Caenorhabditis elegans: one gene and its partners. The protein of the gene in region 3 purifies or fractionates together with the protein of the main gene of each other region. This does not show direct contact. Each region holds a gene or a part of one and is shown on either strand. Other genes may lie near its edges.

What was found.
Region 1: the proteins of copz-1 (region 3) and C05D9.3 fractionate together in Caenorhabditis elegans (co-fractionation; one large-scale study listed by BioGRID). This does not show direct contact.
Region 2: the proteins of copz-1 (region 3) and gmap-2 fractionate together in Caenorhabditis elegans (co-fractionation; one large-scale study listed by BioGRID). This does not show direct contact.
Region 4: the proteins of copz-1 (region 3) and C30G7.3 fractionate together in Caenorhabditis elegans (co-fractionation; one large-scale study listed by BioGRID). This does not show direct contact.

What each region holds. Positions count from the first base shown.
Region 1 is NC_003284.9:1,108,175-1,118,208, forward strand, and holds C05D9.3 (Integrin beta epidermal growth factor-like domain-containing protein), read left to right. Parts: upstream 1-3,741; coding exon 3,742-3,888; intron 3,889-4,548; coding exon 4,549-4,656; intron 4,657-4,774; coding exon 4,775-4,859; intron 4,860-4,919; coding exon 4,920-5,061; intron 5,062-5,106; coding exon 5,107-5,170; intron 5,171-6,008; coding exon 6,009-6,131; intron 6,132-6,238; coding exon 6,239-6,387; intron 6,388-7,053; coding exon 7,054-7,126; intron 7,127-7,207; coding exon 7,208-7,308; intron 7,309-7,414; coding exon 7,415-7,484; intron 7,485-7,914; coding exon 7,915-8,004; intron 8,005-8,076; coding exon 8,077-8,286; 3' UTR 8,287-8,677; downstream 8,678-10,034. Other genes in the region: C05D9.4 (uncharacterized protein), read left to right, coding at 1-102, 383-449, 628-795, 1,787-1,936; C05D9.7 (uncharacterized protein), read right to left, coding at 9,173-9,360, 9,747-9,897.
Region 2 is NC_003284.9:12,939,438-12,946,288, forward strand, and holds gmap-2 (GM2 Activator Protein family member), read right to left. Parts: upstream 3,830-6,851; 5' UTR 3,823-3,829; coding exon 3,717-3,822; intron 3,667-3,716; coding exon 3,569-3,666; intron 3,466-3,568; coding exon 3,326-3,465; intron 3,103-3,325; exon of another isoform or gene 3,021-3,102; intron 2,871-3,020; coding exon 2,771-2,870; intron 2,717-2,770; coding exon 2,600-2,716; intron 2,554-2,599; coding exon 2,477-2,553; intron 2,302-2,476; coding exon 2,115-2,301; 3' UTR 2,005-2,114; downstream 1-2,004. Other genes in the region: gmap-3 (GM2 Activator Protein family member), read right to left, coding at 1-46, 950-1,071, 1,115-1,274; nssp-88 (Neuropeptide-Like Protein), read right to left, coding at 6,179-6,334, 6,415-6,504, 6,802-6,851.
Region 3 is NC_003280.10:10,870,443-10,876,078, reverse strand, and holds copz-1 (putative coatomer subunit zeta), read right to left. Parts: upstream 3,201-5,636; 5' UTR 3,168-3,200; coding exon 3,150-3,167; intron 3,087-3,149; coding exon 3,015-3,086; intron 2,957-3,014; coding exon 2,869-2,956; intron 2,819-2,868; coding exon 2,593-2,818; intron 2,539-2,592; coding exon 2,388-2,538; 3' UTR 2,283-2,387; downstream 1-2,282. Other genes in the region: orc-2 (Origin recognition complex subunit 2), read right to left, coding at 611-710, 766-1,335, 1,970-2,145; cyn-4 (Peptidyl-prolyl cis-trans isomerase 4), read left to right, coding at 3,473-3,551, 3,607-3,727, 3,774-4,560, 4,617-4,995, 5,045-5,250.
Region 4 is NC_003283.11:14,939,992-14,948,327, reverse strand, and holds C30G7.3 (MADF domain-containing protein), read left to right. Parts: upstream 1-2,623; 5' UTR 2,624-2,722; coding exon 2,723-2,743; intron 2,744-2,807; coding exon 2,808-2,874; intron 2,875-4,146; coding exon 4,147-4,244; intron 4,245-4,399; coding exon 4,400-4,519; intron 4,520-4,780; coding exon 4,781-4,932; intron 4,933-5,306; coding exon 5,307-5,625; intron 5,626-5,671; coding exon 5,672-5,755; intron 5,756-6,108; coding exon 6,109-6,153; 3' UTR 6,154-6,198; downstream 6,199-8,336. Other genes in the region: C30G7.4 (Matrix-remodeling-associated protein 7), read left to right, coding at 1,206-1,544.

The DNA of each region.
Region 1 (10,034 bases), on a different chromosome or scaffold from region 3:
AACGTATCATGGAAATATCTATGGAATCCAGAAGTTGAAGGGCAACAAAACTGGAAAGTCGGTTTATCAACATTTTTGGTTTAAAAGGCATCATGTGCATTTGTGAGTTCACGTATTAATTTTAATTTTTACATTTAAAGTTAGGTGCTTTGACTGTAAGATACAAGTTGTCAGAATTTGAAAAATGTGGTGTGAATAGAAGTTGTCACGTGGCATTGGCAGCTGACATTTTAGATTATTAAAAGAAACTTAAAAATAGAAATAAAACATTATTGTCATTAATTTTGAAAAAAAATGTGAACAAACCCTTTAATTTTTATCTCAACAAGTAATCAATTTCTTTGCCTAAACTGCATTTTTGTGTGAAAATATTATGTTGCAGAAGACAACGGTACCCAAAAACGCTAATGTTTGCAAGGATGTCGATGAGCCAATGCTCCAAGAAAAAAGTAATATTTATAAAAAAAATTAATCATGACAGGTACAGACAGTCAGAAAACGCAAGTCCAGATAGGTTTTTTTTGAAATTTGTTTCAAGATTTGAACTATAAACTTTCAAATTTATATGTTCCCCCAATCTTAAACAACTTTCAACAGATTAATTTAAAAAAAAACCCCCCTTTTCAGAACATCAAAATCATACAAGTAAAACGAATTGGTGGTGATTACCCATATGGTCCAAAACTGTCATCAATCTCTGAAAACCAGATATGCCGCCCCACAACAAGCCGCTCCTCCTCACCTCATTTTTCTTCCATCGCTTTTTCAACTTCCCGACAACTCAACTTTCCCAAGGTCCGTTTGTTGGTGTGTTGCATTTCTTTTTATCAATCGAGGGCTTTCCGTGCACTATATGTTGTAATACTTTGTTGAAGACCCCCTGTGTACGTTGGGTACACCAGTTGGGGAATGAGATAGACAGTGATTGATTACTTGATGCTTTGTGGTTTGTCGGGCGGGGATTGAGTCAGTAGATCCAAAGAGGAGAAAACAAATATTGTTGCTCGGGTACATGAAATTAGCAACATAGTTTCATGGTGTATCGACATGAATTGAATTTTTTTTTTAAACTTGCTAACTGAAATTTTCTAAAAATGCTTTTGCCTTTAGTTTTGTAATTGAAAAAAAACTGATATGTATTGTTAAAACTCGCAAGGGTCACCGTTGAGCAAATTTATAAGCTGGTGATTTTTCTGTCTAGAAATGCAATAAATCTTTTATTTTGAAAATAAAAATAAATAGAAAATATTATGGTTTTTTTAAGGCGAGACCTATGTACCCAAATTTGTATGTACCTAAATTTGATTTTTTTTTTCAAACCAAAATATAAACTGCAATTAAATGAAATTGATCAGTGTAAATTTTATTAATTAGTACATATAGTACAGTATAGTGTATAATATAATATGCTATAAGATAGTATAGTATAAGTTAAATGTGCTTTAAGTTTCAAATCAAATAGATTTCAAAATTGTATTCACCTAAAGTCTAACCTCTGTTTTGAAATATTTCAAAAGTGAAAATTTTTCCACTGTGAAATTCAGTGGCAATGATTCTTTAGTAATGCAAATTTGTTAGAAACAGATATACAGTTTTTTTTTATGAAAAAAATATTTACTCGTTTTCAGGTCTTTTTGGAATTGCTATGCTGTATAGAAACACTCCTAAATTTTCAAGTAGAAATTGTAAAAGAAATTTCAAATTAACTGTTCCACGTTGCAACTAGAGCTCTCTAGAAAAAATCCTTTACACTATAAATTGGAAATAACTCTAAAATACTTTTCAGAAATCTTCGAAATCTCTGAACCAAGTTCATATCAACCTGGCAAAGCGAAAACAGTGGAAACGAAACAAGGCGTGGTGTACTCATTGTGAGTCATACTGGAAGATGAAGATTAATTCGAAACAGTTGAAGTCTAGATACCCGTGCTGTTGAATTATTTTGAAATATTTTTTTATTTTAAATAAATGCCTATTTTCCGCGTGAAATTATAATTTTTACTGCAAAACGACAACCTGTGCTCATTTCTTGGATTTATACTGAAAATTTGAGTTTCAGGTTGTGCTTGAACTTTGTAGATTTTATCAACATTTAAACATCCAAACTTCTGGAAAGCCCAGTTGGTCAGTTTTATTGGCGTTTTAATTACTGTAAATTGATACTTGATAGATGCGCAGACAATTCAACTATAAAAATATTTCGAAGACATTTCTCACAAGTTTCTTACAAGTACACCAATTTGTAAATGTAGTTGTCTTCAGGAAACCCCATCAAATCCAGGATACACATATAATTTGCTCTCCGAGCACTGACCTTTTCTCCCGATAACTATACAACTTGCTCCTCCCCCTTGCAAACTCTCAGAAGTTGCCCGCCGCGGTGCAAAAAAAACAACAACAACCTTCGATATAATATCAATTCTCTCCTCTTCTCGCACATTTTATAATCCGCCGAAACTCGGAAACACACAGTTTTTATGAGTAGTGGGGGGATTTGGGACTTTAGGTCACATAACAGCTGCTCTTTTATACACATTCCGATGCTCTTTTTTCGAAGGAACTGACTTTTTTTTGGCGAATGAAATTTGTATCAAAACATTTGATATAGTGAAGATACTAAACATTTTTTGAAGTTTCAAAGTTCCGTCTTCAAAACAAAAAACAAAGCAAAAAAAAAGTTCAGTTGGTTTTGGGTGTGCACCTAGTCTCAACGCCATATGACAGAATGTAGCGTCTGCTGCTGCTGGCAGTTACGGCTCTGGCACGCCAGATGCCTACGCCTGTTGTGTTTCATCTCATACCTCTGTACTCGAGGTTTTACCCCCCTCCTACCCCCACTGTTTATTACTTTGCTCGACATGTGCTGTTCTCAAGTTATTTGGCATCCCTTAGCATAACCCACCTCCTCACGAACTTTTTTTTTACTTTTTTTTTCCCCATTTAGTTAACTTTATTGTTTAGTTTTTTCAAAAGTTGTTATCTGATTTTTCATGTTTTTCACTTCATTCCTTTATTCCGTTTAAAAATTCTAGCTTGTGAAATTTTCATGATTCCACCTAACACCTCAAAACGTATACCAACTCGTTGAATTCTTAATTTTCATATTTAACTCCAAATTGAAAGAGTTTTCTCACTTCCAGAAATTGCTAAAAATCTCAGTTCCATATTGATTTTACGCGATTTCTAGAATTAGAGCAACTTTCTGAATACAACTTTCATAACTTTCGTTATCCTTTTTTTAGAGGCTTAAACCTATTTTAACGTTATAATGTAACTGTTTAGTTTGTAAATAATGTCTACGTAAATTTATAATTTGTATTTTTTGTTGTCTGGTTTTGAAATATCAAACCCCAAATGTTAGATTTGAGAAAGCCCGTTTAATTTTGAATTTTTCTATTGTGAGTACTTTTTCAGTTCTTTAATTTTTCATTTGAATCCCCAAAAAACTCAATTACTGGGCTTGAATTCATCTAGAATCTCCACATTTTTTCGAAAACACCGTAATTTTCTGGTAAAGTTGACCCAATTTCGATAACTTTTTTTCAGATGAAAATGAAAATTGAGCCAAAAAAAAACCCTACTACTCCCGCCCTTTCTATATTGCTCTGAAACCGAGAACATTCTGGAAATCTGGTTAATTTTACAGTCCCAAATTTAATTTTTTTACTTCAAAAACCATGTTATTTTTAATATGCACAATTTCAAGTCCACCATCTCTTTTTTTTCAGAAATCATCACAAAATGAAGTCCCGGATTTTTTTTATAACATTACTGACAATAGTTGCCGCTCAAGAATCCGCAGATCAGTTATGCAGTAGTTTCGATGCCCAGCAGAGCTGTGGACAGTGTATCAAAGCACATGCAGAGTGTGCATGGTGTATTGATCCCGTATGTTTACTTTAAAGTGCAGGGGTTTTGAGAGGGGGTACTAAAAAGTTGGACGTCTTAGATTTCTGACCTTTTTGTAAAATTTGATATCTAGCTAGTTACTTTGAGTTAGTTCAAAAGATTTTCCAACTAAAGAATTATTTAAAATCGTTTTCTATTTGTATAGTTCATTCCTTTTAACTGCAAATTTTCAAAAATTTTAAAACTGGGTTTAAATTTAAATTTAAATTTTATTTTTATTAATTTTAAATTTTAATTTTAAAGCGCCACTCTACATGCACCTGAAAAATTGTAGAATATCACATTACAAATGTTATCTTAGTTTGTAATTATTTGGAAAAAACCGAAGAATTAAATTATAGGTGCTTTATGATGCTTTATGATGCTTACAATAATCGTGCAGTTACAAATTCAGAAAAATTATAAGTGCATATGCACGTGGTGTCAGGCTGTCCTATTATGGTTTGATCTACAAAACAAGCGGGAATTTTTTGTCAAAACAACTGTTACGTCAGCAAGCTCTTAGCCATGCGAAATCAGTTGAGAAGTCTGCGTCTTTTCTCTTGCATTTTTTGTAGATCTATGTAGATCAAACCAAAATGGGACACTCTGACACCACGTGCATATGTGAATACTTTTGTTTCGCAAAAAAACTTTCAGCACTCTTCCCTTACAAACCGATGCCAGCTGAAATCCAAGTTTACCAATGAGACATGCACGCCGCACTTGGTGTATTCTCCACAAACCGCTCAGGTCAAAATTCAACAAGTAAGTGTTACAGTGGTATAGATCCTCGCTGTTTAACCTTTAAAATGTTACAATTTTTGAAAGTAAAACAGCGAGGAGGCATACCCATTGGAGCCTAATTTTCCAACTTTTTCTCCAGAACTTACCACTTGAAACCAAACAGCATGATGGTAAAACCATTGTTCGACAACAGCCACAAGCGGTTTCCGTCCGTCTAATGCCATGTAAGACTTGCGTTTTATTTTTTAAATACGTAACATTTTCGATAATTTGCAACTTTGTAGCTCACTCCGCCACCGTTTCTTTCAAGTACCTGCATCAAACTGACCCAAGCAGACGGAGCACCGAACCCGAGACTATGGAAATTCAGACTTCTGATGTTAAAGATACTCCACTGCAATTGAAATTTTTCATTGTCTGTGATGGGTAGGTGAAGATTTCGAAAAACAATTTTTATAGGAATCATTTCAGAGAGTTGAAGGAGACCAAGTCGTGCCGTGTGCAGAATAATCAAATCGTTGAATTTAAGATTGAAGTGAGTCTTTTTTTGTTGAAAATTTTGTTTGATCTCCAAAACTGGCAAAAAAAAGTTGTGGATTGCTCGTCACTGATATGGAATCTGCCTCGATTTTTCGAAAACATAAATTTCTCCTAAAAATTGAATTTTTTATCAAAATCTGAAGGCAGTGACCTAGGCAGGTGCCTCTTTTTGAATTATTGGTCGTATGTTTTCAATTTTGATGGTAAACTTGTGAAAAAATGGGGACAGCGGTTTTTTGACATGCTAAATCCGAATATAAGGTTCTATGGTAATCATTTAGTTTTCCAATATTACCAAATTTGAGAGGGGTTACCATAGCTGCAAGGCAAATTAAATTTAACAAAGGGTCGCCCATCACTTGGTTTTTCAAATTTTAATTTTAAAAAGCCCCGCACGTGTTTTCAGCTTGACCATTCGGTGTTATTTGTGCAAACACCGTCACGCGCAAATGTAGACATTTTTGCACGTGCGGTTGTGAAATTCCTCTTGGCGAATTCAAATATTTTTCCCGCCTTTTTTGAAAATTTTCGAGGCGTTGGTCTAGCTGAATAAACGTGTCCTGTGAAACACAATAAAAAAGGGCATACCTTATAGACACACCCCTAGTAACCAAATTTGCTATTCAGGTACGCTAGCAGAGACCAAAATCTGCTACTGAAAAAAGCAAAAAAGTCGCTAACCAACAAGACAAGTAAGCAAAAAGTACAGAGAGCTGATCGACACTAACCATGGTTCTAATAATTTTTTTTCTGACCAAAAGTGCTACGCCTAGACAAGCTACAAATTTTAAATATTGATCCACGTTTTATTTCCGAAATTTCAAAATTTTCAGGTTCTCGTCAACTCGTGTTCCAGTACCGGCGATATTACACTATCAGTAGGTATTCTTAGACAACGCACAATTGCTGGCCTCTACGTCACCACGATTTGCGGGTGTGAATGCGAAAAGCATCCGGTAAGATGATCCCAGCCACTTAGCACTTTTTACGAAATTTGAAACTTTTCTCTTTTGTTTCCTAATCACTGGCAATCATCAAAAAAGAATAATATTTTTTTTCGCAGGAAATCAATTCTCGATTGTGCCATCAAAACGGACATCTCGTCTGCGGACAATGTGTTTGTGATCAGTCACGTGGTGGGGATAAATGTGAATGTCCGCTTGCTTCGCATGGAGTTTCCAAGGCTTCTGAATTGGAGGACAAGTGCAGATTGTAAGATTTTTGAAATTACAGAGCGTGAGAAACTAAAGTTCTCAATAATACAGTCAACATTAGATGTTTTTAGCAAAGACTAGTCTGCCAAATTTGACTTTTTTTTGAATTAGGGAAATACATAAAGTTGCTGAGAATTACACTGACAATATTTACACTAAATGCAATAACCATATTGAGAGAGCACGTGGTGTCAGAGTGTCTCATTTCGGTTTGATTTACGTAGATCTACAAAAAAATACGGGAATTGAGACGCAGAGTTCTCAACTGATTTCGAATGGCTAAGATCGTGTTGACGTCACCTGTTTGGGCAACAAATTCTTGCATTTTTTGTAGATCGAACCGTAATGGTACAGATCAGAAACTGATCAAACTGTAATCCTTTGAACTCTACTTGCAAATAAATGTTTCCTGGCAAAACAATGTCAAGCTGGGTGATTTGTATCGTTGAACTCGGGGCAGCAAAAATGACGAGTTCTGACCATATTTTGATAACCGAACTACCAAAGTTAGGTTGTTGTATTATATACCAATGACGACCTGTTTGATCCTTTGTGCTAAGGTAGCCTTGCTTAGCCTTATAGTTTCGGAGTTCTGGAACTCTATATCGGGGACAAAAACCTTCAGAAGTAGAGTCCTCTCAAAACCAATCGAGTATTTTTTCAGCAATTCATCTTCCCCAGTATGCAGTGCATCTGGAAAATGCAAGTGTGGACAATGCCAATGCAACAAACCTACTGTAAGTGGTGTTACCCTCATAAAAATAACTATACAAAATTTTGTGTTGTTTTGAAATTTAATATCTTGTTATACATCATAGGTGACCGGCAAGTTTTGTCAATGCGACAACGACAGCTGCCCGTTGGCGGTCAATGGAAAAGTGTGCTCTGGAAACGGAGTGTGCGACTGCGGAGTTTGCAAGTAAGTGGTCGTAGTAATAATAACATTTGAGTGAACAAAAAATAGAACAATGAAATTCGTATATGTTACATCACAATCAGCTTTACAAATTCGTACTTTTTGCCAGATGCGAGATGGGATGGGAACGTGATGATTGCTCGTGCTCGACGGCATCCAACAATTGTGTGGACAATGGGGTAGGTGGTTGGGGGTCTGAAAATGTGAAGGCCAGGGTGCATGCATGGAAACTAGTTTATTAGTATGTCACCTTATTTGTCTTTAAAAGAATAAACTAGCTTGATATTGCCTGTGAATTTGAGTTTTCTGGAAAAGTGCAAATTGATACTGCATGTTGTTCAAAAGCTTGGAAAAACATCTCAAAAATATTTCTAATTAATCATCCAGCAGTGTATAAATTGTAATTCATTAATAGATAAGAAAATGGCTGCAAGTCTAACAATATATATTTTGTATTGTGAAAACTTTTTGACCTTAACATTCTTAAATTTATTTTTTCTAGGCGGTGTTTTTTTTCTGGGATACTTTGCATATTCAAAATTCTATAACACAGGTCCTCTTTGCATTGCATGAATTCACTTTAAACCTCATTCTTTTTACATTTTGAAGGAACTGTGCTCGAATAATGGGCGGTGTGAATGCAATCGTTGTGTTTGTAATATGGGGAAAACTGGGGCCTTCTGTGGATCTGACGAAAAGGTGAACTTTGTAGAGCTAGATAACGTCTTCTAATTGTACGGCTCAAAATCACAATGAATTTAACATTTTCAGACACCAGCCCCAGAGGAGAAGGATAAGCCAGAATCGGTGCCGGAGGAGCCAGAAGCCACTGAAAAACCAGACGACATGCCGTCTGACAGTGATCTTGAGAAGGAACTGGATGAGTCATCGAGTGCGAAGGAAGAGCAAACTTCCTCCAGTGGAGTTGTGTCGCGAGTTTGTGTATTGTTAACCTTTTTTCTTCTTGTTCTGAATTTTTAAGTAAAGCAATGAGCTCGATTTTCGATTTCTAGATTGCTCTTTCATCCTCTCTCGGTTTTCGAAAGTTGAACCCCACTTCTTTACACATGTTTCTAATGATGCATGTGTATTATAGGTACTTAATTTAATTTGGAAATTGCTGTAAAAAAGTGTACCGCTTTTTAAATGTGATTTTCAGGTTTAAGAGAAACCTTTTTTAGCCTGAAAAGTTAAAATAATTTAGTTTTACTTTCAAAATGCGTGCCTATAATACACAAGTTTTTTTTACCTTATATCTACATTTCTCAATATGGTTTATTTCTAAACAGTCAACTTGTCATACTTGGTAAAATCATCCGTTAATTTATTCAGAGTATCAAATTGTACTTGATATGCTTTTGGATAAAAGTTTTATTTTCTCTCAGTTTGAATTCAAAACATATGGAAAAGGGGGGTGTTTTTATTTTTATTTTTGTAGGTGTTAGAGGTGAAGCTTGCAATTTGTAAATTGCAAAAAAAATTCTGGAACTTCAAACCAATAAAAAAATAAATCTTCGTTTTTCAGTAAATTTAAACTCTGAGATTTAGGCACTATAAAAATTTCAGAAGCAAAACTCAACTCTGAATATCTGAAAATTGAGCCCGAAATATTTTCAGATACAGATAGATAGGTTTTTTCAGAAACGGATATTTTCATATTTTTCCTCGTATTTTTCTCCTTTTTGGCGATCTTCAAACATACTCTGCTAAAATATTATATTATGAAATTTATTGGAAGAAAAAATAATACATTTATCAGACCAGTATTTGACAATGTGACGGAAAGCATTAGAATTAATATAATATGAATTATTATTTCGAGATGCTCAAAATATTACACCAGAATTCAAATATTACTCCTGGTCCCTTACGCACAATAAAACTCGTCTCCAGCAAACCGTGCCTGGGACGTGCCAACGTGTTGCTGATAACGTTTGTACCGAACTTGGTCAGCGATTGACATTGTGCAGTGGAATGCCACACGGCAGACGTAGACGGAGACTGAGAGGAATGTTAGTGAGAGGCACCAGCCGACAATGCACAATTGGAACGTGGCTGGAAATAAAGTTTACTTGAATACTAGAAAAATTTACCATGTGAAATGGAACTGCTTTGCATTCTTCTTTTTTATCAAATAAAGTGTTGCCTTTGCACTTCATTTAAAAAATTTAGGTTATGGTGCATCGATAAGTCCAGTGTTTGAGCTCGATTGAAAATAATTGAAATTTAGTGATTTACTTGTGCTCCTAAACTCCTAAACGTTGACAGTGTATTTCTGCTTGCTTTGGGTTTACGAAAAACTGGCCAATTGACATGATACTTCTTATTTATTTTATAATGATTTAGTGGGAAATTACTTCTTGATTTTTTGATATTTTTATGTGCGAATCAAAATTTAGATTTAAGTACAGTTTCCGATCAAGTTTTCAACAATCACTTACCATCTACCAAATCCAGCTTGAAATGTGTAGAAACAAGTTGTGCACCCATTTTTGTGCACTGCAGGAAAAACATGAAGAGCTCACTTTCCGGCTTGATAAGCGCATAGGTAAAAGCCGTCAAGAAGACGGCACTGACAAATGTTTCAAGAGTCTGAAAACGGAAATTGGTTGCAGAATTGCTTTTAAAATACATTGACGTATGAATGTTCGTAACCCCTCGTGGGAACGATTTGAGCCGCTTTCACGTGGCGTCAGGCTGTCCCATTACGAATTAATCTACAAAACATG
Region 2 (6,851 bases), on a different chromosome or scaffold from region 3:
CAGTGTTCTTCAGCTCAAGATAAATGGAGAAATCTCCGCCAAAGTCCTGAAATAGAGAGTTTCAATTTATTTTTTTATGTAGCTTTATTGTTCATTCAAAGTATATACTTAGAGAGTAATAAGAAGTTGTGATGAATTCTTTATTTCTCAGGGTAAGATAATTTTTAAACTTTTGATACGCTACACAAATACTGAAAAAAAACATTAAGTTTTGAATGATATTGATTTAAAATGTTGTCACGTTGTCACGTTGGCATAAAAAAATTCAATTTGCCCAATAATAATTCAGTAAGGTATAATTTAGTGATTTTTAAATTGTACAGACTACATTTAAAGATACAGATTGTGTTGATGTTCTTAAAAACACGGTCTTAAAGGCGGACTAACGGTTCGGACGATTTTGAACGTATAAATCCGAATTGGGCTGGAATGAATAAATTTTGAAAAAAAATACACTGATTTTCGCTAAAATCTCAATTTTCGGCCACTTTTCCGTGTCGCAGCGGTCCGAAGTTGTCTTTTTTGGAATTATCCTCCTGCATCTTTTGGTAATTTTTTATCATCACATTTCATTGATTTAAACCCGATAGGTAACCAAAAATCATCAAAATTGGTTACCTGTCGGCTTTAAATGTGCCTTAATCAATGAAATTGGATGAGATAAACTACCAAAATATGCAATAAAGGGCGATGATTCCAAAAAAGTCAACTACGTCCCCCGCTGCGACACGGAAAAGTTGCCAAAAATCGAGATTTTAGCTAAAATCAGTGTATTTTTTTTTCAAAATTTTGAACCGCCATAAAAAAATTTTGAAAAATTTATCAGAAGTTTCCTTACGAAACTCGTTTATTTGAGCTCATTTTGGGTTTGAACGTTCAAAATCATCCAAACCGTTAGTCCTCCTTCAAGACACGGAATATTAACAAAACAAAAAGCACAATATTTTACCTCTAGAACTTCTACTTGGCCTCCGATAGTAAAACAGTTTGGCTTATCGGCTTGTGGTTCAAGTTTCGGGCCTCTCCTATCATTTCCAGACTCGAATTCTAACTTCTTTGTCCATTTACCACCTGAAAACCAAATAAGCTTTGGTTTAAAATCTCGTAAACCTACTTTTGCATGGTTGATGTTTGATGAGTTCAAGAGTTACACTCAGATCTTTTCCCAACTCAACGTTTTCCAACGCGTTGGAAATGGAAACGAAAAGACACGATGAAGCTAAGAAAACGACCAACATCTGCGACTGAAACCGATGCGCAAATGAAGGTGTCATGGCTTATGAAGTAAGCGACGAGGACGTGCCCTTCTTTCACACCCCTTTTCAGCTGGATTTTAGAATAGTTTACAGTGACGGTGGGGGTGAAAGGGGAATATAGATATGAATTGTACAAATGTGTAATAAAAGTCTGACAGCCATCAAAACCACTTTTCTCGTTTTTTCTTTCTTTTTCGTGTTACTTTTACCTCAATGTGAAATGATTGTCGGATGGCGTTTCGAGGTCATGAAGGTTATGAGATTCTGAAAAGATGAAGAGATTAAAAGAAAAGGAAAGGGGAAAAAAGTAAAAAAAAAGGAAAATAATGAATCAAAAGCCTTATGTCCTTCAACTAGTAGTGAGAACAAATGCAATAAAGTTTTACAGATGTGTTACATAAATATCACTTTATGATCTCTAACCAACAACATATATAGTTCCAGTTTTCCTTACTATTAGTAACTTTGCAAGATTTTTCTGTAGAATTCGTGTACTGTTGTATACACAAGAATAAAAATTCTAGAAGTAAAGGGTATACAGAATACTTTGAACAAAATCCCAGAAACATTTTGAGGCTAGCAAAATATTGAGGTTGTATTGAATAAAATGCATATTGAAGAAATGTAAAAAAACATACTCAAAAGGATACCAGACAAAACTGTTGTTTTTTACACAACGAGTCTTTGAGCACAGTATCACCATAAAGATTGACTGTTATTTATTAAATGTCAAGATCAATTTGCTTATCTAATTCATAATTTTTATTGTGTTTATTTCATAATTCACAAAAAATGAACCCGCATAAACGAAATGAATAAACATGAAGTTATCATCGTTGTTCATCCAAATATATTTTCTTATTTCTTCTTGGCTTGAATGTCGCTCAAGCTAATGGTTCCGTAAAGTTTGTGACATCCAACGAAAACTGACTGCTTTTTGATAATTTGATTGAATGGCAGATTCCAATAAGTTTGAGAGTCAACTGGCTCATCAGCGCCAAGTTTGCGAAGTTCACGGATGCGAGATTCTAGTTTTCGTTGAGAGCTGAAATTATTTCATTTTTCTATTTGTTTAAAAATTTTCTACTCGTGAAAAATAGTGTTATTTTTCATATAGCTGTAATGTATGTGACATATATGTCTCGAATATAGTGAATGGTTGTTAGATGGTATATGAAACTGTAAATCTGGCTAAAACCTATTTAATTTTCAGAACTTACACTAGAAGAGGTTTAATATCCTTGTCGAACAAATAAACGGTCACAAATAGACTAAGCTTTGGTGGACCATTTCCTTCCTGAAACACACTTTTTCTTTCAATAATTATTTTCATTTTGTCAAACCTGAGTAGTAGCAGCTAAAATGTGATCTAACGCGTCTTCTGAAATTCCCTGCCATTCCAACAATGCAGCTAATTTCGGAAGGCAGAAACGGAGTTCAACATTATCATATTCTCCTTTCTAAAAATAGTGTTATTGACTGCATCGTAAATTTTTTTTAACGATGTTGCTCACTTTTAATGGCTCACATCCTGCTGGTTTGCCGTTCACAACAAGTTGAGCTCCGAGAATTTTCGTGAGAGAGTCCAAAGAATCACATGGCCGGCAGTAGAGACTGAAACAGCAGTGTTTACGTCATTTTTTGGAAACAACAAAACAACAAATTTTCAAGTTCGAAAATTTAAATTTCGTAATCATCGAAATACAACTAAATCTTGTTGTTTGAAGTTATAACATAACGACAAATTATGATAGCGTAGTACGTGGAGAGATGGCCGAGCGGTCTAAGGCGCTGGTTTAAGGCACCAGTCCCTTCGGGGGCGTGGGTTCGAATCCCACTCTCTTCAGTTCTTTTTTTTTAATTTATTTTGCAGGTTAAACACTTATGTATGAAATTGTTATAGTTATACTTTTTGTTTTAAGAGTGACCTCTAACTTAAAACTTTTAGGTACTTCACAGCTGTTCATCTATCATTAACTGCTCAAAAGGCTTTTTTTTCATTTCCTAATGTTTTTTCTAGCTCTAGAATCTTGATGATTTCCCTAATATTTCTGTCAATAACTCATTACCATGATCCAACACCTCCACAACCAGTGTCCGGATTGGCATCCCTGCACACTTCCGGTGGTCTTTGAGTGTCACCAGTGGTCGACACGGACAAGTAGATCAACAACTCGTCGCTCACATCCTCATGAATTTTCACTTTTCCCTAAAGAAAATGAATTATTATTATTATTGTAATAACGTCAATCATCAAGCATTGTTATTGTTTTTCAAAAATCAAAATAAAACACTCTTGGGGGCTAACTCACACTAATTGCATAGCACCCTTTCTGTTCAGTTGACTTGAGTAGCGCTCCACTATCCGAGTGGCCACCCTGGAACTCGATTTTGCGGTTCCAGTGAGAACCTGTAACACGTAAAGTATTAAAAAAGTGACAACGATAGTTTAATAATTACTTTTTCTCCATGCACAACTTTGATGTCTATGAAGGTTTAAGTTCAGATACTGAGTCGATGCAAATCCAAACAAAATTGCCAGTAATATCAGGCAGTTTGTAATCATGACAAATCTGTAAGATACCGTTTATGTAAAAATTTACAGAAAGTTACAAGAACAGTATAGAAAAAGTCACAGAAGTCACTGAATTCAAATAGTTCCATCATCGAAACATCTTCATATCTAATATTTGAATCAATCTTAGTTTAGCATTTAATGCAAATGCGGCAAGAAAGTAGCTGTGAAAAAGAAAAATCGTCAAATGGGGCAAAACGATACGAATGGAAGGAACCTGTTACGTAAGCTTAGAGATCTGTCTAAGCATGAAAAAAGAGAATCGGGTATGATATGCATTGTTGAAGGACCTAGACTTTCAATCAAAACGGGACTATGGCAGAGACCACAAGGAAAAATAAACTGAAATAAGGAAGCGAAATGTTCTACGATGACTGACCAGGAGAACATTGAAGATTCCAATGGTCTTTGATTTAGTGTTCACCTCGTCGTCGTCCGCCCTAATTTTTCAACTTGTCATAAAATTTGATTCCTCTGGAATTTCACAAAAGAAAACTAGTTACGAGAACAAGAACTAATGTGGAACTTTTAATGGTGTGTACTAGGTGTGTTTGAGAAGGGAAATATTTGTGACGCTTTACAAAATCAGTGTTCATGTGACTATCTTTTCAAATCGACTTCAAAATGTTGTTTGTAAGAATGGAGACCTAAATGAATGATGGAGTTTGTGGGCAAAAAATCTCAAAAACTACAGAAACAATGTCAGAAATAACGCAACAGTTATTTGTAATTTTATAATACTTCGGTTCTCAACTATAGAATATTTGGGAAACTTAGTGGAAAAATAATACCGCCGGCATATAGAATAACTCTTAAACTACTTTGGACGAATTAATGTTTTAACAGTGGTCGCAAGAGCATTCGAGCTAATGAAGTTTGGCAAACAAAGATTTTTTTGTGGACTACAAATTATGATAGGCATAATACCATTAAGCCCAATAGTGGCTGGGTGAACCTAGGGGGTGAGGCCGGACTTGAACTTATGACCTCCAGATTTCTAGCGGTCACCACTACCGACTGAGCTATCCGCCCCCCGAAATACAATTTTGTAAAGCAAAATTAAAAAATATATCTTTTCATTTTTTCACGTATCAATCATGTTTGCGCAATTTAAAAAATGAACTTTAATGAAAAAAAATCATAAACTTATATAATCTTGCAAAAACCCCTTGATAAGAAAAATGAGTCATTGAACGATTAAAACATAAATAAAAATTTCCACTAGCTTTAACCAAAAGTCCACACTTTTTCATCTTGCGAATACACAGTTTTCACACCCGTCTTTATAATCATTTTATACACTTTCTGTAATGCTGGCAATTCGCTTGAGTGCACTTGAATAGCAAAGGTTCACGCTTGGACAGAAAAGTGTGACGAAAGATATTGTGGAAGGGCAAATGAATGGTGGGCCGACACGCAGGGCAAAAAACGAATAATACTAAGAAATTGTGGAAGACGATAAAGACTGCGAATTGGTCGGAAACGAGAATTTGCCAAGAATCCCCTCATCTCCTTTCACCAACTAACCGCGGATAATAGATAATAGGTGTGAATCATTATTATTCGATCAGGAAACGATGCGCTATGCAAAGTGTTAGCTGGTCTGCTTGCGTTACATTCAGGTATACAATTTTTGCAGGAAATCACGCACATACACATCTGAATGTCACTTTATGTACAGTGTTTTAGACAAAACCAGTTTTAATACTGCGCTTGTGATAGTTGTACCAAATTCTGAATTTGTGAATGGCCAGGTATACATACTAGAGCTTAAAACTGGACTAAATTTTATTTGATCAAAACTGATTAGCAAAATTTTATTACAAATTAAAAGGTTTATTTCACGGTTCATTTAAAGGCGTAGAAATAAATTTGGGCACACATCAACCTACTGAACATGCATTTTAATCAATGGAATAATTGTGCACTAAAATAGTTTTATGACAAAATAACCTTGACAATATTTTAGAAAACTCCAAGATGTAACAAGTGTTAAGTTTAAGGAAGTCCAATGCAAAACCTTATATAAAGGATTAGGCACGTCTTGCAATTATAAAAAAGTATCCCACTGTTGAGCATCTCTTCTGACATTTCAAAAAAAAATTTAACAAAAAAAGGTGTAACCAGACTTGAATTTCCTTTATTAGTAACTGCTCGATTATAAATTTAAATAATCGGGACGTGGTTGAAACGCTTTAATTTTTTAAGCTATACTCGGTTGACAGAAAATAGACTGTTTGTATGATGGAAACTTTGTATCACAGCTCTAACAAAACAGCTTTATTTCACCAAAAGTACAAGGACTGGAGGAAAGAAAAATTGTATCAACTATCTCATTTCTGCACCTTCAACGCCCCCAAAGCCGGCTGCTGAGTTGAAGTTTTGGCCGGATTCCTGCTTTCGCCACCCGCTCCATTTTCAGATTGTCATCAGAAAACACTTCCTCATTTTCAGTCTCATGTTGATTCAACGACTGTCTTGAAGTCTTGGCCAATATTGTGGTCTGCAATCTGATTCGATGAAATCTTGGAAACAAGAATCATAAGTGAACAGGAAGGAGTGGATTCCAAGTAATTTGTTTACCGTTTCGAATTTATTCTCATCTTTGATCGTTTTCTCGGATGATTCCACCGGCCACATCACCATGAAATCTTCAGGAATCAGAGGGATGTCCTGAATTAAATTAAATTGAAATAAATGAAATGAGTCAGTGGTTTATTGAAAACACACTACATTTGATTGCACCTGCTAACTATAAGTTTTAAAATTATTTAGGGATGACAAATTTCCTCGTGATTCTATCTTTGCCAAAAATTAACAATTCCACCTGCATTAAACTCGTGGCCAAAACTTCAAAACATTAGGATTTCTCAAGTGTATCAATAGAATAGTGTTGTTCCAAAAAAAAAAACGCTTTATGTAAATTCAAAAAAAACACAGAAGTGAAGAAGTAAAATTTCCTTGACTCACCCTTTCAAAATTCCTCAGCCCTGAAGCATGTGCCCGTTTGCCCCAAAGAA
Region 3 (5,636 bases):
TGCCTTTATGAATAAAAAGTTTTTAATTCAAAATTATTTCAAAAAAGTTTATAATAAATATTTTTCATTTTAGAACCATATTTTTGGCATTAATAAAAATGTTTTTTAAGAATGTTTGTTTTTTCTAATTTTTCTTGTTTTTTTTTAAAGTAGAAAAAATTTGTTTGATTTTTCCGGAAAAATTGAGAATTTCAAAAGAAAATTGACTAAACATTTTTACAATATATTTTATTTTATTTGAAAGCTATTTTTCGGAAAATCTAAAAAAAAATCTAAAAATCGTTATTTTCAAAAATTTAATGTTTTTAGTGGGTTATAATTCGAGTAAATGCCATCAACTGTAGCGATTTTTTTAAAATTTTTTTGCCATAAATTTGACTGTTTTTCAAAATTGTTTTTTTTTCGATTTTTTGCCGTTTTCAGATTAAATATTAATTCGATTTTTTTAAGATTTTCTTATTTTCTCTTATTTTTCTCTCTGTCAAATTTTTATTATATTTATGAACAAAAAACATACTAAAATATATAAATTTCTACAGAAAAAAATAATTTTAAATAACAAAAAAATATAATTTTCTGTTTTTCGAAAATTAAAATTTTAGATACCCACCGAATTCCAGATGAACGTCGAGTAAATGTGATCAACTGTAGCAATCAATTTCACCGAATCCCGATTCTCAAGAAGTTCGCAAAATGCTTCTTGATCACTTCTGAAATTAATTAAAATTAATTTTTTATACATAAATAAAAGCGAATTCCCCTCACCTCCAATCAGGAGCTTCAATATTATCAATGATAAGAATCAACTGTTGGCTATTCATTTTTCTGCGAATAGATCGAGCCCAACTAATCGTAGATTGGCCTCTCTTCACATTACAATTCAGCTTCATATTCTCATTGATAGCTCCAAGAAGAACTTTTACATTGAGCCCATCTTTCCGTGCATCCACTCTCATATATGTATAATCGGATAGCTCATTCTCAAATTCTGTGAGAACATCACGCTTCGAACCGACACCGTGCAAAAGAATATTAAATCCAGCTGCTAGGTAAAGCTTCCATTTTCCGAAATCATTATCCGCGAGATGCTCCAATCGTTTTTCGAATTCCGTGTTATCTTTTTTGGTAATATAATTTCGAAGTCCAGGGAGATCACATTTTGTGAAATCAGTGATAGCATTACTGATCTCATCGTCTTCCTCAATTTCTTCAGTATTTCCATTTCCAGCACGTCTTCCACGACGGGATTTCGCATTATTCATTCGTTCTGACGCCGATTTTCCTTGCATAAAGTAATTTTCGATTGCTGATTGAGCCATTGATACAGTTTCATCCCTGGAAAAATGATTGATTTGCTTCGAAAATGTACTTATTTTTAGCTAGATGGAAGATTTTCTAATTTTTGCGCCAAAATTCCCGGTCTCGGCACGACAATTTTTTTTGAATTACAAACGGGTGTGCGCCTTTAAAGAGTACTGTAGTTTCAAACTGTGGAATTTTTATCGATTGTTCGTTAAAATTCATGCGCTTTTAATTATCCTAGTTTTTTGTTTATTTAAAAAAAATTTTAACAAAAAACAATGAAAAATCGATGGAAATTCCGCAACGAAATTTTGGCCTACCATTATTAAAGGCGCACCGAATCATTCAGATGAGTCTCGGCGCGCGAAAAACTTTTAAATTTTATGGTAGTTTTTTACTTTCATTTTTCAAGAAATTACTCCGTTTTTTGTATTTAGTTCTCCTTCTATTATTCTATTAAAAAACCGGAAAAATTTAAAGAAAAAGAAAATACTACGATACTGTTTTCCGCGCAGAGACCCGCCTGAATAGATCTGTGCGCCTTTAAGAACACATATTGTGATAATACAGCACTCCTTATAGACGCACCCCCGTTTTGTTTTCAACAAAAATTGCCGTGTCGAGACCCGGTTTTGCTCAAGAATTCATCTGGATAATAGATACATACTCGAAGCCCAGTTGTTCCAAATCTTCTTCTAAATTTGATTGCAAATTTCTAGAAGCATTCTCTTTTCCATTCGTCTTTTTCTGTCTGGATCCTTCTTTTTCTGGAGTCGATTTTTTCACAGGAACGGCGGCACTGGGCTGGACAGTTGCTCGTTTCAAAATTTTTGGCCGTGGCATTTTCTGAAATTAAAATTGAAAAATAGATATTTAGATTCATGCAGGAAATGTTAAGCTTTAAACTGAAAATATAGTTAGGCGTTAAGAAAACGAACCAAAAACTCAACAAAAACAGCACAAAATCAACAATTTTTACAATGAAAACACCATTTTATCCGAGGTTTATTCATTTTAATTCACAAAAGAGTATTGGAGAGATTATAAATATCACATTTTAAATTAAATAATTTATAGAATTCCATTTACTTGAGAAGAGACCATTTGAACTGCTCGTTGGCAGATTTCATGAACGAGAAGCCGATTTGTGATACGGATTGATCGGAGAATGAGACTTCGTCGGATTTGAGAGCGGTTCTTTGGACGACAGCCTGGGCGTCAGTTTCCATGATAATTCTGTAATAATTATTTTAAATCAGTTGAATACTTTTAGAAATAAAAAAAAATAACCCTTCATCACAGATTTCGTCAATAATCAGCATGATAGTGTCCATGGAATCGATGAGAGCCTTCTTCTCGACGTTTTTGCGAAGAACGACAGACACAGCATCGTAGAGACAGGTGAGAGTTGCGTCGAGGAAAAGCTCATTCTCGCGGGTCGATCCGAGCACGTAGAAGTACAGATCAACGTTCGAGCGGTACAAGCAAGTCACTCCGTCGAGAAGCAGGATATCGGCTTAAAATGTTTAATTTTTATTGTTTTCATCAAAAAAAAATCAGCCAAACCTGAAGTGTTGCGGGAAGTTTTCGAGAAGAGACTTTTCTCGAAAGCTTTTTGCTCCTTGACAGTTCCAAAGGTTGTACGGTCGTAGTACTGAAAATCGATATTTTTTCGAGTTTTTTGTATGGTAATTGTGAAATAAACGACAAACCTTGGCAAGAACACGGTTTCCATCCTGATCAAGAATCACAATTCCTTTGATACTGTACAGAGAAGTTGGATTCTGAAATTTCGCTTTTTAGTTAAAAAAAAAAAACTTCAATAATAAGCTGCAAATGAAACTTACAGTGTCAAAGTCTGCCATCTTATTGCAAATCCTCTCTTTTGCTAATATTACCTATAAAATTAAAAATTTATCTCTGAAAAACAATTTAAATGGAGGAAAAACATTGAGAAACAAGATAATCCACGTCAATAGTCAATGAAATTGAGCGCGTAAATCGACATGTGATCGTGGCGAGACCCGAGGTGGCTGGCGGCCGCCGGCCTAGGTTTTCGTGTAGATTTACGAGCCGATTTGTTTTCGCAATTTTTAACAATCGGCATTTTAATTAAGCTTAATAACTACATAAATGTAACTAGTATTTATTTGTATTATTTTCAGATAAAATGGGAAAAAAGCAACATCAGAAAGATAAACTCTATCTGACCACTTCTGAATGGAAATCGATTGGAGGACATAAAGATGGTTTTTATTTAAACACGAGTTATAAATAAAAACAAGATTTAATTTCATATTTCAGATACTGGAACAAGACTCCAAAGAGCACAGTTCAAAAGGTTACCCATCAACCATTGCTCGCTGTCACTTCTACCGTTTGAAGACCCAGTTTGCGCAAGATCAGGAGAAATTTTCGATTTAACGTAAATTTCTGTTTATTTTTTTTACTTTTTATTAAAAAATTTTCAGTGCTATCGTTCCTTACTTGAAGAAGCATGGCAAAAACCCGTGTACAGGAAAACCGTTGGTTGCCAAGGATCTAATCCACTTGAAATTCGATAAAGGAGAAGATGGAAAGTTCCGATGCCCAGTTACATTCAGAACATTCACGGACCACAGTCATATTCTGGCCATCGCTACTTCCGGAAACGTCTATTCTCATGAAGCCGTGCAAGAATTGAATTTAAAAAGAAATCATCTCAAGGATCTTCTAACCGATGTTCCGTTCACAAGAGCTGATATAATTGATCTTCAAGACCCAAATCATTTGGAAAAATTCAATATGGAGCAGTTTCTACACGTGAAGCTTGATTTAAAGACGTCAGAAGAGATTAAAAAAGAAAAAGATGCAATGAAAGATCCAAAATTCTACATTCGACGAATGAATAATGCTTGCAAATCAGTTCTTGATCAATTGGATAAGGAATATGTCCCAAAGAAGAGCTCCACAGAAACTGATGAAACTGCCGATGAGATCAATGCAGCACATTATAGTCAAGGAAAAGTCGCAGCTGGATTCACATCCACTGTAATGGCTCCAGTTACAAGCAATAAAGCAGCTGTTTTGGATAATGATACAGTTCGGTACAGCCGAGTTAAGAAAAATGCTTTTGTGCGGCTTGTTACAAATTTTGGGCCATTGAATCTGGAATTATTCGCGCCGAAAGTTCCGAAGGCCTGTGAAAACTTCATCACACATTGTTCGAATGGATATTATAATAACACCAAATTTCATCGGTTAATTAAAAACTTTATGGTAAATTTATTATAAAAATAGTTAAAGTTATAACAAAAAATAATTAAAAATTTCAGCTGCAAGGAGGCGACCCAACTGGTACAGGACATGGTGGAGAATCAATTTGGGATAAGCCATTCTCAGATGAATTCATCTCCGGTTTCTCCCATGATGCTCGAGGTGTGCTCTCGATGGCTAATAAGGGCTCTAACACCAACGGATCACAATTCTTCATTACATTCCGGCCGTGCAAGTATTTGGACAGAAAGCACACAATTTTTGGGAGACTTGTTGGAGGACAGGATACACTAACGACGATTGAAAAGTTGGAAACTGAAGAGGGAACTGATGTTCCGATGGTTTCAGTTGTTATTATGAGAGCTGAAGTATTTGTGGATCCATTTGAAGAAGCTGAGAAAGAAGTTCAAGCTGAGAGAGCAGAGATTTTGAAGAAAAGTTTCTTAATTCTATTACTAATTTTAAAACTAATGATATCTATTTTCAGCTTCTAAGGACGCAGCTTCATTAGCAAATAAAAAAGCTAAAGAAACTGCAACAAAACCAGAAGCAGTTGGAACTGGAGTCGGCAAGTACATGAAGTCGGCCGCAGCTGTGAATAAACGACAAGGAAAAATGGAAGATGTACCCTTGGAGGCCGCAAAGAAAACTAAATTTGCAAGAGCAGGCCTTGGAGATTTCTCAAAGTGGTGATGAAGACCCTCTCTTTTTTTTTAAATTTAAGGAATAAAATACTTTCATCGAAAATATAATTGAAATGAAAAGTAATCTTAAAGAGGATAATTTACATTGCAAAATACAAAACAGTCGAACGAGCACCTAGAACGAAAATGGTCCAGGAAAAGCTCAAGCTCTTCTCGGAAGGAACATCAAGGCATTTTGGTAATAAATTGTGGAAAAGCCATAGCACATACACTTTGGAGCGAGGAGAAATTGTGGGAAAAGAGATTTTAATAATTCTAGAAAAAAAGTTTACACTCGAGAAAAGGCAATGAAAAAAGGTTTTAAAAGAAGAAACAAGCTGGTATTATGGTAGATAAATATACAAAACTCGCAAATAAAGCATTAAAATGAGAGAT
Region 4 (8,336 bases), on a different chromosome or scaffold from region 3:
AAATATTTCTAGAAAGTTTATAGTAGCTTAATTCAAAGAATTCTTTTAATTTCAGATTAAAAATCATGATTTTTCAAGTTTTAATTTTTAATCGTCTGAAACACAGTTTCCAGGTGATGATAATTCAATTTGGAAGTTAAACATTTCAAATACGATTTCTGTCATTTTACGTGCCAACTATCAGATAAATGAAAAATAACGTGACTTTTCAGATATGACCCATGTCATTTTGCAGGGATTATAGTGTAATCGTTCTGTGTTTTTTGTATGATATTTGTGGGCTGAGTTTGAATTCCAGTTTTAGAAAATTGAGATATTTCAGGAGTTGAGATGTTTAGGCACTTCATAAAAAGAAATCACGACAGATAATCTTGTTTCAAGACAATGCCGAATGTTAAAAAGCTAAAATGAATGTAGTGAGATGTGGAAGAATAACCAACTATTGTTAACTTTCCGATATGTTTCCAGAGGTTTTTCTATTATATTTTGTCATTCTCCCACAATTGAAATCGTTTGAAAGCTGTTCTCAATTGATCCAATTCCAGTGTATTTTTTTTCAATGTTTCAGGCGCCATACTACAATGCAAACCAGTGGTGTGCGACAAGTCTCAAAATTTGCCGAGCTCAGCAAAATCGGCAAATTTGCCGTGCTTAACAAACTCCAAAAATTTGATATTTTTTGATGTTCCTTGGAGCAACAAAACTACTGAATTCTGTAATTTCGAAATTTGCCGAGCTCGGCAAATTTGCCGCACAACCCTGATGCATGCAGCATTCTTTTCTTTTTTTTCACATTCTCAGTAACGTTCCCCACATCACAATGAAGCAATGCACCTACGAAACAATTAAAGAATTTTTTCACTTGCAGGTAGCCCTCAAAAGTACGAAAAAAAAATTGAAACCAATGTTTTTCTCGCCAAATAATTTGTTTCATCGGGAAAATAATAACGAAAAAGTTTCACAATTAAATATTATTAGTCACATTTCCAAAATAAATCATCATCAATTGTTTGCGATAACAAAAAAAACTTCGGAATTCTTAACACCTAGAAGCAGCCGTCTGAAAAGTACAAAAGCTATTATATTTATGACAAAAATGACATTTAAAATTGATTCTATATTTTCAGAAGCTGTAAGTTTTTTCCAATTCAAAAACATATAGGATACAAATGATTTCTACTTCAAAGAATTCCAGAACTTCAAACATGGCAGTTTTTGATTTCATCATTGGTTTCGGCTTCATGTTAATTGCTCTTTTTCTCATTTTCCTATACCTCAACAAGGATGGGCACATTTCAATAGCTATCAAAAAAATATTAACGAATTCAAGACAAAAGGCAAAAGATTTGAAGGATGGTTCAACATCCGACCCATCAAAAACGACACCAGCCGCACCTGCATGCTCTCCAGTATCAAATGAGGAAATAACAATACCCTCAGATGTTCAATCGGTGAATAATACTTTATCAGAAATTTCATTGTCAGAAGCTGAAGTTCAAGTTGATGAAGAGAATCCAAATATTGTGAAAATCCATGTAATTTGATGACTGTTCGCATTTCTAGTCATCATTTTGAAATTTAATAAACCAATGCGACATCGTAGTTTACTTCACCGTTGTCAATTTTTGTAGATGTACTGAAAATGTGTTTGAAATTTGTCCAATTGCAAAAATAATAATTAAAAGCTGACAATAATCATCTATTGTTCACAATGACGAAGAAATTCTAAATGCTTCTTACATAGAAGCCGACTGATAAATATAGAACTATAATATTTATGACATGATAGCATCCAAAATTGTTTCTATATTATAAAAAGCTGTAAGTTTTTTGTTCAATTTGATGGGATGGCAGCAAAAAAGTTACAATTCGACGTTAAACCATCACAACCCAGATTGACCTCGCAATGAAATATTTGACCAACTGTAGATTAAAAAACATATACCGTATTATTTCTATTAGTCTTGCACCAACAATGCTTAATTCCGAGATTTTTAGAAGATAATTTAAGTTATTTTCGTAGCATTAAGCCATATTGGTTATCATGATATCTGACTCAAATTTGGTGTCTTGGCTCTATTCTCGTGCAAACACCAAAGTCGCGTTAAAATATTTCATTAACCTAGGGAACTGCCACAAAAGTTGCACACTTTATTATCCACGACAATTGATTTCTTGGCTTTTGTGAATAAAAAATAATGTTTTTCGTAAATGAAAAATTTCAAATGATGGATTTTCCGGAAATTAATAAAAAATTATCAATTTTTCAAAAATTAAAATTTCATATTATCGACTTTTCAAAAAAAAAAAATTAAAACTTCACATTATCGATTTGTCAAAAATTGAAAATGGCAGATTACCGATCATTCAAAATTTATCGATTTTTACAGGAAGATGGAAAGTATGTAACTCTGAAATCTAATGTCGTGGAAAATGGTTTCTACTCGGGAGTCTTATAGATTTTTTCTCATTAATTTATTGATTTTTGTATTGTCATGATCTCAATTTGAAAAAAAGAAAGAAAATGTAATAATTATCGATATATTTTTTTAAATAAAACTGTTTTTGAAATTAAATCTTCACGTGGCCTTTTCGAATTTTGTTATTCTCAACAATAATCGATAATCCGTGAGATTGATAAAATCGATAAATTTCAATTATTTCTCACTTTTATACTCGTCAATACCACATTTATTACTCGCCGCTTATTCACATTACTCCAATGAACTGCAGACAATCAAAGGTGAGGTGCACGAGAAATGCGCCAGCATTTGCTTGCGCAATTCACGATACCGTATATTTTTCAGAAAAATTCTCACATCTGGGACAACGTCTGTACCGCCGGCACTCGTCGTAATCCGTATTACGTCTGCTGTGAGTTTGAGAGTCGGGAAAAACTGATAGTTTTTGTTGTTTCTGTTCAAAAATCGATAATTTCTCAAAAATAAATATTTTGAAAATTTAGAAAATATCGATTTTTCCGTAAAATCTATATTTTACACAAAAATTTTCACCTACGTGTAATTATCGATTTTTGTTCCAGAAAAGAGTTAAAATTAAAATTTTCGAATTATTGATTTTTTTGTTGGTAAAAATAGCATACAGGGTGGGCCAAAAGTATGGTAACACATGAAGCGCTCTTTTACATGAGCTTTTCGCGCGACTGCCACGTCATACGTACATTCTTCTATCGAATACTGATAGCTGAATAAATTTCCTTCAATTTGACTCAAAATTTGTAATGTTTCCCAATAAGGTGCGATCTTTATCACCTCGACAATTTGGCGAACCCTTTCGAAAAAACGGTAATTTGGCACGCGGCACTTCCCACACAAACACACCTCCCACGCACGCCAATAATTTTCAGATGTATGATTTTTATGTTAAATTGAAAGTTAAAGAAGTGAAGAAGCGTTTTTAATTGTTTTTGTAGCATATAAAAATGTTCTGTGTCGACACTGGCGCCTAGCAAGAACCTTTGTATATTTCATGAATTCAACTTTGCGAAATTTACTCAGTTTTTTTGGTTTCGCAAGGCGTAACGACCCACAAAATCATCCGAGCTCAATTTTCTAAAAAAATTCTGGAAAGTCAGGTCAAAACGTCTCGAAAAATACTAAAATAAATTTATCTGAATACTGCTACTCGCCGCTCACATCCATCTTTCTGGCGACTATGCCATTCAAGACTTAACCTACTGCCGCAGTCCATGACAGAAATACCGTGATAGAAAATATTTTGATTTTTGTTTTTAAAGAATCTCTAGACCAAGGGCATTCTTTGAACTATAAAAACTTGTAAGACACTTTATGGATTCCTCAAGAAAAATGTAGAAATCCCGCAGAATGCCGACTTGCGTGCCATAAAGATCGTGATCTCAAAAGTTCTGAAGGCCTGCAGCAATGCGGATGGATATATTTTGAAAATTCAAAACGTTCATCTGGTCAGTATTTTATGGAGAACAAAACTTGTACAAATTGATGTAATAACTCTCTCCACTAGTAAAGTTATAGAGCTGCAAACGTGTTACCATACTTTTGGCCCACCCTGTAATTCCTAAAAATCAATACTTCGAAAATATTTTTGATTTTAAGTAAAAAGCGATATTTTTTCACGTTCTTTTTTTTGATTATCGATTTTATGCAGACGGCACCACCGGCTCCACCACCTCATCACTGTCAATTTTGGAATTTTCACGTGAACAAATCACCGTAGTGTCGCCACGTGTCAAATGTCCCCTCAAGGTGAGAATATTGGAAAAAAATCATTTCAAAATTTGATCGCTGTACAAAATGCCATTTTTAACAACTATCTATCGTCAGATTCCGACCGGAAATGTATTGATTTTTTGATTTTTTGGACTAAAAATCAATAAATCAATATATATTTTTATTTTCAGCAAAAAATTGTGGAAAAACCGAAGAAAAGGAATGTATATGTCACGAACTGGGATCGTGCAGCGGCGGAGCAACCAAAGGCACTTGCCACGTGGATTTATCAGCCATTTGATAAGAGAAAGGTGGGTCGAGAATTGCGCCAAGGCTCTATCATTTTGTTGGCTTGTTGGACATCCTATCAGAAAGACATACCTGAAATTTCAGTTCGATAAGACTATTTTGAGCAGTGTTACCAGGCCTTGAAGTTTCTTATAAGATTAATCGACCGCGTCGCAGGTTGTTTGCTTTGACTAGTTGTAACTTTGCTCCCAGTGGATTGATTTGAAATTTTTTGTGTGGCTAGCTGTGTATTATTACGTACATTCAATTCAAAAAATTTTCAGTACAACAACCGCACGGCATCCGACGCCTTCGACGCCTACCAACACCGCCTGAAACTGAAAAAACTGCCCGAGACAAAGCAAAAAGTCACAAAAACCACCAAAAGACATGTGACTATCAATGAAGCGGCGACTCAAGTCATTCAGGATGTGTGGTGAGTTTGCACTAGAAACGCGCCAAGGCACGAGTTTTGCGTTAAGGCGTTAACAGTAGTATACATACATACATCAGAAATCAATACAGAGAAATCAATACACAGCTCTACGAGCATTTTGAACAATTTTGAACAGTTACGTAGATTTTGAACAGTTACGTAGATTTGAAGTATTGAGAAAAACCGCGACGCAGACTAAAGTTTTGAACCACTGTAACTTTGCTCGCACTGTTCGAAGACTTTCAAAATTTTTTGTGAACGCTCCCAATGTAATTGTTAATATGATGACGTCATCATTGCTCCTTGGCGTATTTTTCGTGCCATGACGCAATTCTTGATCATTAAATTTGAAGCCCTAATTTTCCTAGTTTCAGCCACCTCCAACCGAAATCCTACCAAAAAATTCGCATATCAAATTGTCGAAATGATGAGGTGAAAATCGATAGTTTCTCTGCTAACCGAGTTCCAAAAGACGATGATATTGACGACCTGAACGTGAATGTTCCAGTTGAAGATGATGATGACGTGGAACTCGATGACGTCATCCTTGCTCAAAATCCGGCGTTTTACGGCACAATTGAAGCGGAAAAGTGTGCAGAACGAGTTGCCGCACATCTATCGATGGCCTGTGAAAACATGGAACGTTTGCAATTTGTGACGGAAGCCGTGTATCCACAGAGCGCCGCTCATTTGGTGAGTGATTGCCTAATATGGAAAATAAATATTGATTTTTTTGCAGAAGAAGCTTCAAGAAATCGATGATGACGTCAAGGATTTCAATTGTCAGATGAGACAGCGTCGTGTCAAAGCTTCGAATCCAGGAGTACGTACTTTTAAGTTTCTGTGTGAAATTTCATGGCTGGACCGCGACGCGACACGAAACTCATGAAATTTTTGAAACTTTAGCGTTTTAATTCAGAACATCAAATTAGATGAAAAAAATGAACCACAGAAAATTTCAGAGCTGTAGCCACATTTTGAGCAAAGTTAAGGTGGTTTGAAAGTCCTAGCGACACACGACGCATGTCAAAACTTGCAGTTACCCTAACTTTGCTCTTAGTAGACACAGAGCTCTGAAATTTTTTGAGCGTGCTCCCCATGCAATAGAAAACTTGTTTGCGCAATTTTGGTGCCTTGCAAACACCATAACCGTGTAAAAATATTTTATTATTCCAGGGAACAGTCACAAAAGTTGCACACTTCATTATCCACGGCAATTGATTTTCCTCGATTTTTGCGAATAAAGAATTTATTGATTGGATTTCCAATTTTTTAAACCTTTTTTGTAGTCACCTAACAACCCGGATTTTCAAGTAGATTTTTAACAATTTTCAGGAAAGCGAATAACTGGAAATAATGCCTAAGTGCCTAAGACTAAGCCTAAAAATGAGCCTAAGGCTAAACCAAAAAAAATCCTAAGCCTAAGCCCTGTGACATAAGCCGGCAAAGTGAAGCAAAACGGCTTGTTTTTTGCGCTGTTATGAGCTTCATTCTTATTTGTTAGACCTTGTGTGTCCCCAAGCCAAGCTATTTCGTCGACATGATGATAAAAATTGGTTTTTGATTTAAACGAATTTTTTGACGCCATACTTATTTATTCGAGAAAAAATAAGCATATATAAAATAGGAAATTCAACAGAGAGTCAAACAAATTAAACGCTTTTTCAAACTGAACTTTCAGGAAAAATAGCAATACGTTTTATCTGAAAAGGGTTGTTTGCTATTATATTGTTTTGTTGCAGAGAACTTATTAATAATATTTATTTTTAAAAAAACCATGTTTTTAAAATTGAAACCAGATACCAAAATAAAAAAAAAGAGAAATATAAGCATAATGAAAAGTTAGGAGAATTTCAGCAGTTTCTAGAAGGATTTGTGGAAGTCCATGTGCTGACTGAACCGACGTTTTGGTCGACTTGAATCCCCACTTGCTGGCCTGAAGTCTCCGGCGATTCCTCAGAATTGTTTGATTTATTATCGTGTTTTTTGAAGCTCACGAAACCGAGAAAAGTTAGACAAGCTATGAGTAAAGGGCCGCCAACTAGAATGAGAACGGTAATGATCACCACTAACAGAAATATATCTGAGGCGTCCATTTTTTGGAGAATTCGAAGAAGTGACGAAACAACAAGACTGCCTGCTCTTTTGTACTTTTTTGAAAGTAGTTGATATTGACAAAATGAAATTAGTACGCGTTGTAGTAAACATCTCTGTTGATTCACTGAACGTTGTGATGTTGAAAATGAATCTGTAAATGTCATATATGGAAAGAGTTGTGTTAAAAAAAATTTAAAAAGAAACCATTTTTCATTTTGAAGCCGCCTATCTACCAAGAGGAAAATCAAAAAACATGCAGGTAAAGCAAATATAGAGACAAAAGTGTGCGCCCAGTTTTCGGACGGTGGTTTTGCGACACGCGGAACTGCGATTTATGCTCTTTTCGGTATTAATATTCACGTGCAGCTGGTAAGAAAATAAGATTGTCCCGGTTCTTTGCAGATCCTAAGTTTCTAGGTTTATGCGACTGCAACAGAAGTGGACAGATAAAAATCATCTCAGTACGCCGAAGTAGGTTGCCTTGGATTCAGACATTTCTATACCTGAATGAAATTTTAAAATGTCTTTTAAAACATTGTCAAGTCTTCCCTGACTACTTTACTTCTTGCTATCTTTGCGGTCAATTTTGCTGTGAATTCTCATAAAATTGAAAGTTTATTGAACCGAATTTTTTAAATCCCATCACAAATAATACAATTAAAAACACAATAATTCAATTATAGTCGGTACTCAGCTTGGTAAGCCTCAACAGTGTATATAGTATTCCTTAATCAGGAGAACGCCATGACCATTGTGAAGATGAATGTTACAATGAAAATTATTATAGCGAGAATAAAAACCACATGCAAATATGTAGCAGAATCCATTTCTTCCTGGTGAACTTTTGTTTTCTTGAAGTTCTTTTGTATGAATTCTCTGTTGAGGAGTTGATGCAATATTTGAAATTTCAGCAAACACATGTACTTGTTGAAGATGAAAACATGATGCATGGTATGAGAAAAAGCAATTTCAGTGTTTTAGAGACTTGGTTTCTAGGAAGATGCAAAGTTTTTGACTGCATTTGTCTCGTTTCGGAGGTTTCGTTCCTAGATACAATTACAATCAAACTTAAATTTTGTGAGTGTAACGTCAATGCGCGAAATTCCAGAAATTGACAGAAAACAATCTACGAAAACTATGTATTTTTACAAAAAAATTTGAAATTTTTTTATGAGAACAATTTCAATCAAGAACTATTGATTTTTTTTGAAGCAATAATCCGTTTTCTGTGATATAAATCTAAAAGGCCAAATAGAAATAGTCCTGCATAGTGGATAATCTGAACTTGATACGACGATCTTTATTGT